Arabidopsis thaliana: one gene and its partner. The protein of the gene in region 2 interacts with the protein of the main gene of each other region in a biochemical or structural test. Each region holds a gene or a part of one and is shown on either strand. Other genes may lie near its edges.

The links.
Region 1: the proteins of NF-YA6 (region 2) and NF-YB2 form a complex in vitro, tested with the Arabidopsis thaliana proteins (one study listed by BioGRID).

Annotation. Positions count from the first base shown.
Region 1 is NC_003076.8:19,307,144-19,310,971, forward strand, and holds NF-YB2 (nuclear factor Y, subunit B2), read left to right. Parts: upstream 1-2,083; 5' UTR 2,084-2,270; coding exon 2,271-2,843; 3' UTR 2,844-3,129; downstream 3,130-3,828. Other genes in the region: AT5G47635 (Pollen Ole e 1 allergen and extensin family protein), read right to left, coding at 138-430, 505-706; NUDT2 (nudix hydrolase homolog 2), read right to left, coding at 3,248-3,436, 3,534-3,642, 3,715-3,749. UniProt on the Arabidopsis thaliana protein: Component of the NF-Y/HAP transcription factor complex. The NF-Y complex stimulates the transcription of various genes by recognizing and binding to a CCAAT motif in promoters.
Region 2 is NC_003074.8:4,640,008-4,645,098, reverse strand, and holds NF-YA6 (nuclear factor Y, subunit A6), read right to left. Parts: upstream 3,170-5,091; 5' UTR 2,590-3,169; exon of another isoform or gene 2,585-2,589; intron 2,443-2,584; exon of another isoform or gene 2,216-2,442; 5' UTR 2,132-2,215; coding exon 1,855-2,131; intron 1,755-1,854; coding exon 1,672-1,754; intron 1,561-1,671; coding exon 1,480-1,560; intron 1,400-1,479; coding exon 1,229-1,399; intron 1,113-1,228; coding exon 798-1,112; 3' UTR 528-797; downstream 1-527. Other genes in the region: CID4 (CTC-interacting domain 4), read right to left, coding at 4,408-4,440, 4,564-4,668, 4,781-4,858, 4,935-5,090.

The DNA of each region.
Region 1 (3,828 bases), on a different chromosome or scaffold from region 2:
AACTCGGTTCTGTGACTGGAGCGCCAGCTAAGCAAACGAGGACCATAACAAAAAAAATGCTTTTCACATGAAGGAACTTGAAGAATCAGCTGTTTGTGTTCAAATCTTTTGGTTGAAATGTTGTCTCAACGAGCTTGCTATGATCTCGAACTGTGGCCCTGTAACCTGATTTTCCCTGAGGTGTAGACACGGAAACCATTGGTAGAGGAAACAAGTTTGATAGGTTTGTGTATATTGGTAGAGGTGTTATAGCATCTATAGGGCCTAGGCACATATACTGGCTTGATGAAACAAGTGTTTTCAAGGTGTGGAATCGCATGGAGTTGGGAGGGAAGATCGATTTCAAACTCTCCCAATTCATCAGTAACAGCCTTAATCCATTTGGACCTCCTTTTGGATCCAGTGTGGCACTTGATGGCAACGGTGGCACCTGCGAGGATCATGTTAGTATATATTCGGACGGAAGACAAGAAACATGAAGAAAAAAGGTAGAGAAACAAATACCTGGGATAGGGATGGAGTGAAGGTGAGGACGTGAAGTGTCGCAGAGAAGAGATCCGGTGATCACGACAGAGGAGAGTTTCTGTTCACCGTAGCCAGCCATCTCCACCATTTCCGTTCTGGTCCATAAATTATTCCCAAATGCTCCGGTGAACAAGAAGAAAGAGAGTAACAAGAAGCAACGGATGATGAAGAAGCTTCCCATCGTTAAAAACAAAGAAAAGAGGTTTGTTTGTTTTTCTTTGTATTTTGTTAAAGAAATGAAAATAGCATGAATATATAGAGAAGAAGAAGGAAGCTAAAGAAGAGGAAGAGACCCTTTGCGTGGTGGCTTCAGGTCACACAGCTCTGTACGGCAGTGTCTCTCTTTATACCTTGTAGTAGCCTTTTTCTTTTCAGTTGTATCTTTTCTAAATATATTAAAAATCGTGGCTGACTTGTTAGGGTCAAATTTAGAGCTGAATCTTCCAAATGAAACAATGAACCGAGAGCGAAAGAGAAAGAGAGATACGGCACTTGGAAGCAATTACTGAGTGGTTCGCCTACTCTTTCACTCCTTGTATAAGTATTATTTTAATAATAATATTTGGTGCAACGTTTTTGTATCTAGTGTGACGTTTCTCCTTTTCTTTATTTAATTAAGCCAATTCAGTTAGAGTAGTCATGCAGTAACCAAAAGATTCAAGCCTACCCTCAACTATACTCGCACACATTCAGCTTTGAACACAACGGCTTCAACATCGTGGGTTTGGTCGTGTCTACGTGCTCAGAATATCTAGTTGATGGTGGGAGTCAGCAGGGTTTTGACCAAACCACAGTTTCTCAAGTCCTCATTACATTGAAAAAAGTATGGGCTTAAAAGAAGCCTAGATATTGATAATAGGTCCATCACCTTTAATGGGCCATTCAGTTTGATTATCTTAACGGCCCATTAGGATTCTCCAGGTGGGACAAGTATTAGCTATGTCATTAAGAGCTTAATACAGCTGGAAGCTGGTGATTATTGTTAATGTTAACTAATCACACGCTTAGAAAAGCGACAATGGTTGGACCCACAGGAGAAGATCGAGACCGTCAAAAGTGGACAAAACTGGGACGCTTTTTGTTTCCAAACAGCTGTCTGATCTGATTGGTCGATGCAGTTTTGATGGCAATGAACCCCACCACAGACCACACCCTCATGATCCAACCCAATTCGCTCGTAACACAAAAAAAAAAAGAAGTGAAAAATTGACCGAAGGGTCGTTGAGTGGCAGTTACCCTCTGTCTCCCTAACGCCCACCTATCTTCTCCGTGTTTTCCACGCGCTATCTTTCTCTCTTCTGTGTGTTTACCACGCTCCTCTTATGCGCGTCGGCTCGTGACAAAAGTGTGCCGGGTCCACTAACTGTCCACAACACGTGGCAAAGCCTTAAAGGGCTGTCTATCTCTCAAACAAGATCAATTCCAATCCGACGGTCGAGCACGTATCCAGTTGTCAGAATCTTATCAGTAAACGGACGGTTCATATAAGATCACGTGTCAAGTGAGCAGAAGTCGTGCGTCCTCTCTTTATATAAGCTCCGGCGACTCCTTCACCACTGTGTACAATACCAGCCGACACTTAACAATTCACACCTGCTCTTTTTACTCTTTCTAAAACCCTAAATTTTCTCGCTTCAGTCTTCCCACTCAAGTCAACCACCAATTGAATTCGATTTCGAATCATTGATGGAAATGATTTGAAAAAAGAGTAAAGTTTATTTTTTTATTCCTTGTAATTTTCAGAAATGGGGGATTCCGACAGGGATTCCGGTGGAGGGCAAAACGGGAACAACCAGAACGGACAGTCCTCCTTGTCTCCAAGAGAGCAAGACAGGTTCTTGCCGATCGCTAACGTCAGCCGGATCATGAAGAAGGCCTTGCCCGCCAACGCCAAGATCTCTAAAGATGCCAAAGAGACGATGCAGGAGTGTGTCTCCGAGTTCATCAGCTTCGTCACCGGAGAAGCATCTGATAAGTGTCAGAAGGAGAAGAGGAAGACGATCAACGGAGACGATTTGCTCTGGGCTATGACTACTCTAGGTTTTGAGGATTATGTTGAGCCATTGAAAGTTTACTTGCAGAGGTTTAGGGAGATCGAAGGGGAGAGGACTGGACTAGGGAGGCCACAGACTGGTGGTGAGGTCGGAGAGCATCAGAGAGATGCTGTCGGAGATGGCGGTGGGTTCTACGGTGGTGGTGGTGGGATGCAGTATCACCAACATCATCAGTTTCTTCACCAGCAGAACCATATGTATGGAGCCACAGGTGGCGGTAGCGACAGTGGAGGTGGAGCTGCCTCCGGTAGGACAAGGACTTAACAAAGATTGGTGAAGTGGATCTCTCTCTGTATATAGATACATAAATACATGTATACACATGCCTATTTTTACGACCCATATAAGGTATCTATCATGTGATAGAACGAACATTGGTGTTGGTGATGTAAAATCAGATGTGCATTAAGGGTTTAGATTTTGAGGCTGTGTAAAGAAGATCAAGTGTGCTTGTTGAACAATAGGATTCACTAACGAATCTGCTTCATTGAATCTTGTATGTAACTAAAGCCATTGTATTGAATGCAAATGTTTTCATTTGGGATGCTTTTATGTTTTGGTGAGAGTTATGTAGTGATTCAAGTGTCAAAATGCTTACATAGAGAGGCAGCAAAGAAACCAGCTTCGTTAGAATCTGTGAGGAAAGCTCTGTTTGTTGAGAAAGAAGGTCAATTGCGCGAATGTAAGTCGCGGGTGTTGTAGTACAAGTTGCCTTGTTGATCAGGTGCAGAGACGCGGAGAGGAGTGAAGCCTTCGTAGTCTCCGTTGGTTTTAGCAGAGCAAATGTCTGTCATATACCTCAATAGCTCATAATTTTGTACAAATGGTTGATTTATGTATTCCTCCCAAGGCATCCACTGCACCAAATTCCCATTTTCAGAAAGAGAAGAGGTTTATGAGTGTTTTAGTGGATGAGACTGGAGAGTCGTTGAAGTGAGGAGCAAAAACTGTTACCTGAGCTGCCTCAATCTCTGACTCCTGTGCGTTGATCTCCAAAGAAAGGGGCTTTAACATGCACACGAAGAACAAATCTGACTTTCCAAAGAACGCTTTGTGTGTTTGTCTGCCAGAATTTTAAAACAGACGAGAATCAGTTATGTTGCAATATAGAAGATTATGCAGTTGGAGTTGCTACCTGAAGGCCAATATTTGGTCGAATTCTGTATCCACCTGAAAACATACGATGCAGAAGAGTGGGATTAGCTCTTGGTCTCATGTAAACTGTAAAGAGGACAGTGAAAAGTTGAGG
Region 2 (5,091 bases):
GTGGACCAACAGAGAAAGGTATGTCTTCGGTGAGATCGGATAAGACAGTTATTCGAACACGAGGAGGAGGTCCTTGTGGTATTGCTTTGAGCCTCCAGCAAAGTGGGCCATTGCATGCCGTGAGACACACCAATATCAAAAATATGAAGATCCTTTTTCTCTATGGGATCTTGTGCTAAAATCTGAAGGATAGCAGAGATTTAGACAGATGTCCAAGTCCAATCAATGGTAGGTGAATGAATGTAATCGTAAAGACTTGGTGTTTGTAGAAATTGAGAAATGATAACGTGAAGACATAATATATGAGATGATTTTGTTCCAACATGATTATTTGCGTTGGTCAACTTCGTTTGAATTATGAGATGTCACACAATATTTGACTAAAGCCAAAAGTGATTACCATGTGATCGGTCTTGTTACTAATTATGGTTTATATGATTACTAGTAGATATGATTATGTTGTATAGTCTGGGACTAATATCTTATCTCTTTTGAAAATGGACTATAAAAGGCAACAAACGTGAGCTCTAAAAGCAAATAATTATACATAAATCACAAATCCATGCAGATGCACTTAATCGAAACTAATAAACTTAAATCAAGTATTAAACAATATTCAGCAACAATCACATAAAATAAAATAAACAGCCAACGGAAAAAAAAAATAGTTGAAAGATTTCTTCTTCTTTTGTAGAACGAAAGCAGATTTATAAGATAGAAACTTAATGGATCAATGATTTAAATTAGCCAAGGATGACTTCCCTTCATTATCTCATCCACCACTTGCCGGAGCTCTCTCACATGAGGACTGAGACATGGTGGTTTGATGGATAACCTGAGAACCTGAATTGTGGGTTTTGCTGGAACATGTCGTTGTTGTTCCCGGTTATGTCCGAGCAAGATGTTGTCGAGACACTAGACACAACCCCACCCCTTGAAATGTCCATTTGCCGGAACTTTCCTGGAGAGTTCTTGAAGACATGAGGTGGAATCAAGAATGGAGGAGATAGTGAGGAATTTGATTCTTGATGCTTCTTTGTGTTGAGGAAACGTCCACCAGAGCCTCTAACTCTCTTTAGTGCATGGAGGTGCCGCGACTCGTGAAGATATGGCTGCATAGTTTCATACAAAAAATTGGTCTTGAGTCAAGACTCTTGACATAATAACTGAAACTTTCTGCATATAATTCTATTTATCAGAGTGGTGCAATATAGATAAACAAACATACTTTGCGGACTTTGATGAGCTTGTTCTGAGCTTCAAGCTTTGCACGGCGCTCTCTGCGGCGGAGAATGGCTTGGTACTGTTTTGCATTGACGAAAATTGGTTCGTTCTCTGGAATGTTGTGAGGCAAAGGCATTCTAGACGGAACCAACCCTCTGATTTGAGGATGCTGCACCTGCAAAGATTTCCATAACAAATACTTTCATAAAGATACAAGAAACAGTATTATCTTGAAATGTTACAATTGTGTATTACCGTGTGTTGTGATGCATAAGGAAAAGACAAGAAACCATTGAAATGTGGCGTTACATTGCCGTGTAAAGGCCAAGAAGCCGCCTGTGAGCATATATAGACATCATTAAGATAGTATTCAGCTTTAAACTCAGTCTCATCTTGAACTACTACAAGGTTTATAATAAGGTCAAAGATGATAGTCTAATAATTAACCTCAATAGGAAGAACCACTGAATCTTGAGACACCTTTGATATCGAATGACTTCCAATAGGATTTTCCGGGTTTTCTTTGTAACCTGCACCAAAACAAGAAACCATAGATAAGCTAAAATTAAATGCAGTTGACGCAGCAATGTGAACTCTTACTCAGGCGAAAAAGGTTAAAAAGTGGTGGACCTGAGAGATGAGTGACAACAATGTTGTGGCCATAACGATTAGTAGGTTCACTTAAGCTAGCAACTTCACTATATGATTCTCCTCCAGTGGATTGAGTAGAGGAGGAATCATAGTGCTGCATTTGAAAACCAGTTTGTTTCATCTCCATTGTCAAGCTTAAAGTGTTGTTATCGGTCAAGGATGATGATCCTTGGACATTTGAGTTGGTGAAGACAGAGTTATCCCAAGAAGTTGCAGGACAAGGCAATGAATCTTTGCTACTATGGAACTCTTGCATTGTCTAAAACATTAGTTCAATAAACGAACTAATCTCCAGACCATAGTAGATCCATCAAGAGACAAGAGATGTTTATTCAGTCACCTGTAATTCCAATCAAGTAAAAAAACCAGTCATGATATATTGATATTGCATTATTCACTTGGAAGGAATCAAAAACCATTCTTGATCCACAAAGAAAAAGCAACAAACAACAGATCTAAGAGAAAGAAACCATAGAGCAGATCCAATTATTACCATACTAAAATAGAAAGTAAAGATTCAGACTTTGAGAATTAACGGATTTGATTACAAATTAGATATAAAAAAAACAGAGAAAGCACAAACATGCAATTCCACTAACTTGAGAAGGGAAAATAAAACCAACCTTGGAACAGTATTGATCCAAACAACAAGCGAGAAAACAGAACATAACTAAAAAAGAAGAAACAAAAAAAGTATTTAGATTTTTTTCTCACCTATCACCCAAAAATGGTTTTATTTTTCTTCTCAAAGCAGAGTACAAGTAGTCAAATATAGCGACCAAATTTACCAAAAAATCAGAGGGAGAGAGAATCTATGGATTTGGTGAAGATGTAGAAAAAAATCATAAAAGGATGAGATGATGCATGTCTCCTTCCTCAAAACATGGCTTCTTTCTTCTTCTTTTTTTCTCTCTTTATCAATTTCAGCATTTCACTGTCTCTGCAAAATTGAGTAGTATTATTGGCTATGGCTAAAAAGCTTCACCTAACCTTTTTTTTTTTTTCTCCCAGTAGTACCAACTTTTTTGCCACCACTAATTCACCATGAACACTACCTTTTTACCTGGACATTAATTATTATTATTCGTTGTTTACATTATGATTGTGAACCACTCTTGTCTTCTTCCTTTTTTTTTTTCTGTCCTTATTAATTACTACTAGTAACAAATAATGAGTACTCCATTTTATCAACTAGAAAAAATAGTAAACTTTAAGATTAAAACAGAAAAAGTGGGTACAACTATGTATAAAGGCTTACGGTGAGATCAGATTCTGATGAAGTGAAAATGTCCCATTAAAGAAACAAACAGAGACACACATTCTGTGTACCTTGCTTGATATCTTTGTATTCACAGCCGCCACATCGCTGTTCCGAAATCCACGCGCGCGTGATATTCACGTCCGGTGTTTGGATGATGAAACCACGTCGTCACAACATAAGGACACACTTGCCTTTTTGTTTGACCGGACTTTTGGTTTTTCTCGCATGAAATAAATCAGTAATTGCATAACGATGAGTTTTGATAGATTCTTAAAGAGCATTACAATTACAAGTAAGGTATTGTAGTTGAATATTCGTTGTTTTCTTGTCTCATTTCGGTATCCATACTGAAAAGAAAGAAACAAACTTAGCAAATTCATCGGTTTTTCTATCATAGCGGATGACCGTAAAATATGTTAGTTGGTTTCGTGAAAAGTTGTTGAAAATACATCGAAAACATGATTCGCAATTGAACTAAGTGATTATAAGGTAAATTCTAGATGAAGATTGGTGACCCAACATCATTCGTAAGTGTCAAGCTCAAGCCACGGTTAAAATCTCCACTTTAAAGCAAAAACAATAAATGTTGAGAGAGACTCGTAAAAAAGTAAAAAATAAACAACTCAATGCAGTCACCTAACCTAATAATATATGCGACTGGTAAAACTAGGTTTGATTCCATTTTATTTTTTTCTTGTGGAATCTTAAAACATGAATGTGTTGCCCACCAAATCATATACACCGAGTCATATCGATCATCATGATAATAATCGCGAGACAACTACTTATAGTAACGTTTAACGACTTATTGAAAAAAGCATGCCCTACAACAACACCAAAAATGACTAGTTCTGCCTGCTTTGAAATCGTTGTTACTCTTCTATTCTTTTCATCTAAACCGCATCCTTTTTGGATTTTAGATAACAAAATCACCCAGAAATTTAGCACAACACACACAAAAAAATATGCAGACGACGAAGTAAAAGACGCATGAGAGCAACCTACACTCTAAATTTTATATCTCTGATACAGCCAAAAAAAAGGAGAGAGTGCACTCAGTACTACAGACTTCAGATAGATCGTTTTTTTTCTTTCTTTTTTTCTTTCTTTTTGTTTTCAACACGAAATACCAAAATCAGTAGGCGAATCTAAAAAAGAGAAGAAAATGGTTTCAGTGATTGGGTAAGGGAGAGTGGATAAAACCAGAGAGGGGTTCGTACACTTCCTTCACAAAAAAAAAAAACATCATCACCATCGGGTAGTAGTAGTTATTACTCTCGTCCTTTATTATGATATGGCATGTCCTGCAAAACACACACATACAGAGATGAGATTTCAGCATCCAAAAGTTTTAACTCTTCGACTATGTAAAAGAAAAATAAAAAAAGAACAAAAAGAGGGAATCTACTATTAGCAAAAATAATAACCTGCGGGTAAGGAGGAGGATGCATGTAATAAACTGGCCTAGGATGCTGCTGACCAGGTATCATTTGCTGCTGCTGCTGACCAGGTATCATTTGCTGCTGTGGGTACTACATCACAATTCCAATTCCAATCACCATTAGACTTTTGATGTTTTTTTTTTTTTTTTGTGTATGTGTGTGGGAATAGTAATTCAATAGGGCTTGTGTGTTACTGTCAAACCTGAGGTTGTCCATTTGGATGATAATAGGCTTGAGGATGATACATCATCTGTGGTTGGTTGCCAGGATATGGCGGGAGCTGCCAATTTTCACATGGTGAGTTTTGAAAACATAACTCGGTTGGGTTTATATAATATATAACAAACGGAACTTACTCCGTAATTAACAGGCGGCATTCCAGGCATCTGCTGAACAGGAACATGACTAGGACCAGGGTAGTAGAATGAGGCATCTGCGATTGGAGATTGAGGTGGTGCAGCAGCTGACTGCAATGGTTTGAAACTCTTAGCCTTTGGATTGAGTTTGAATTCC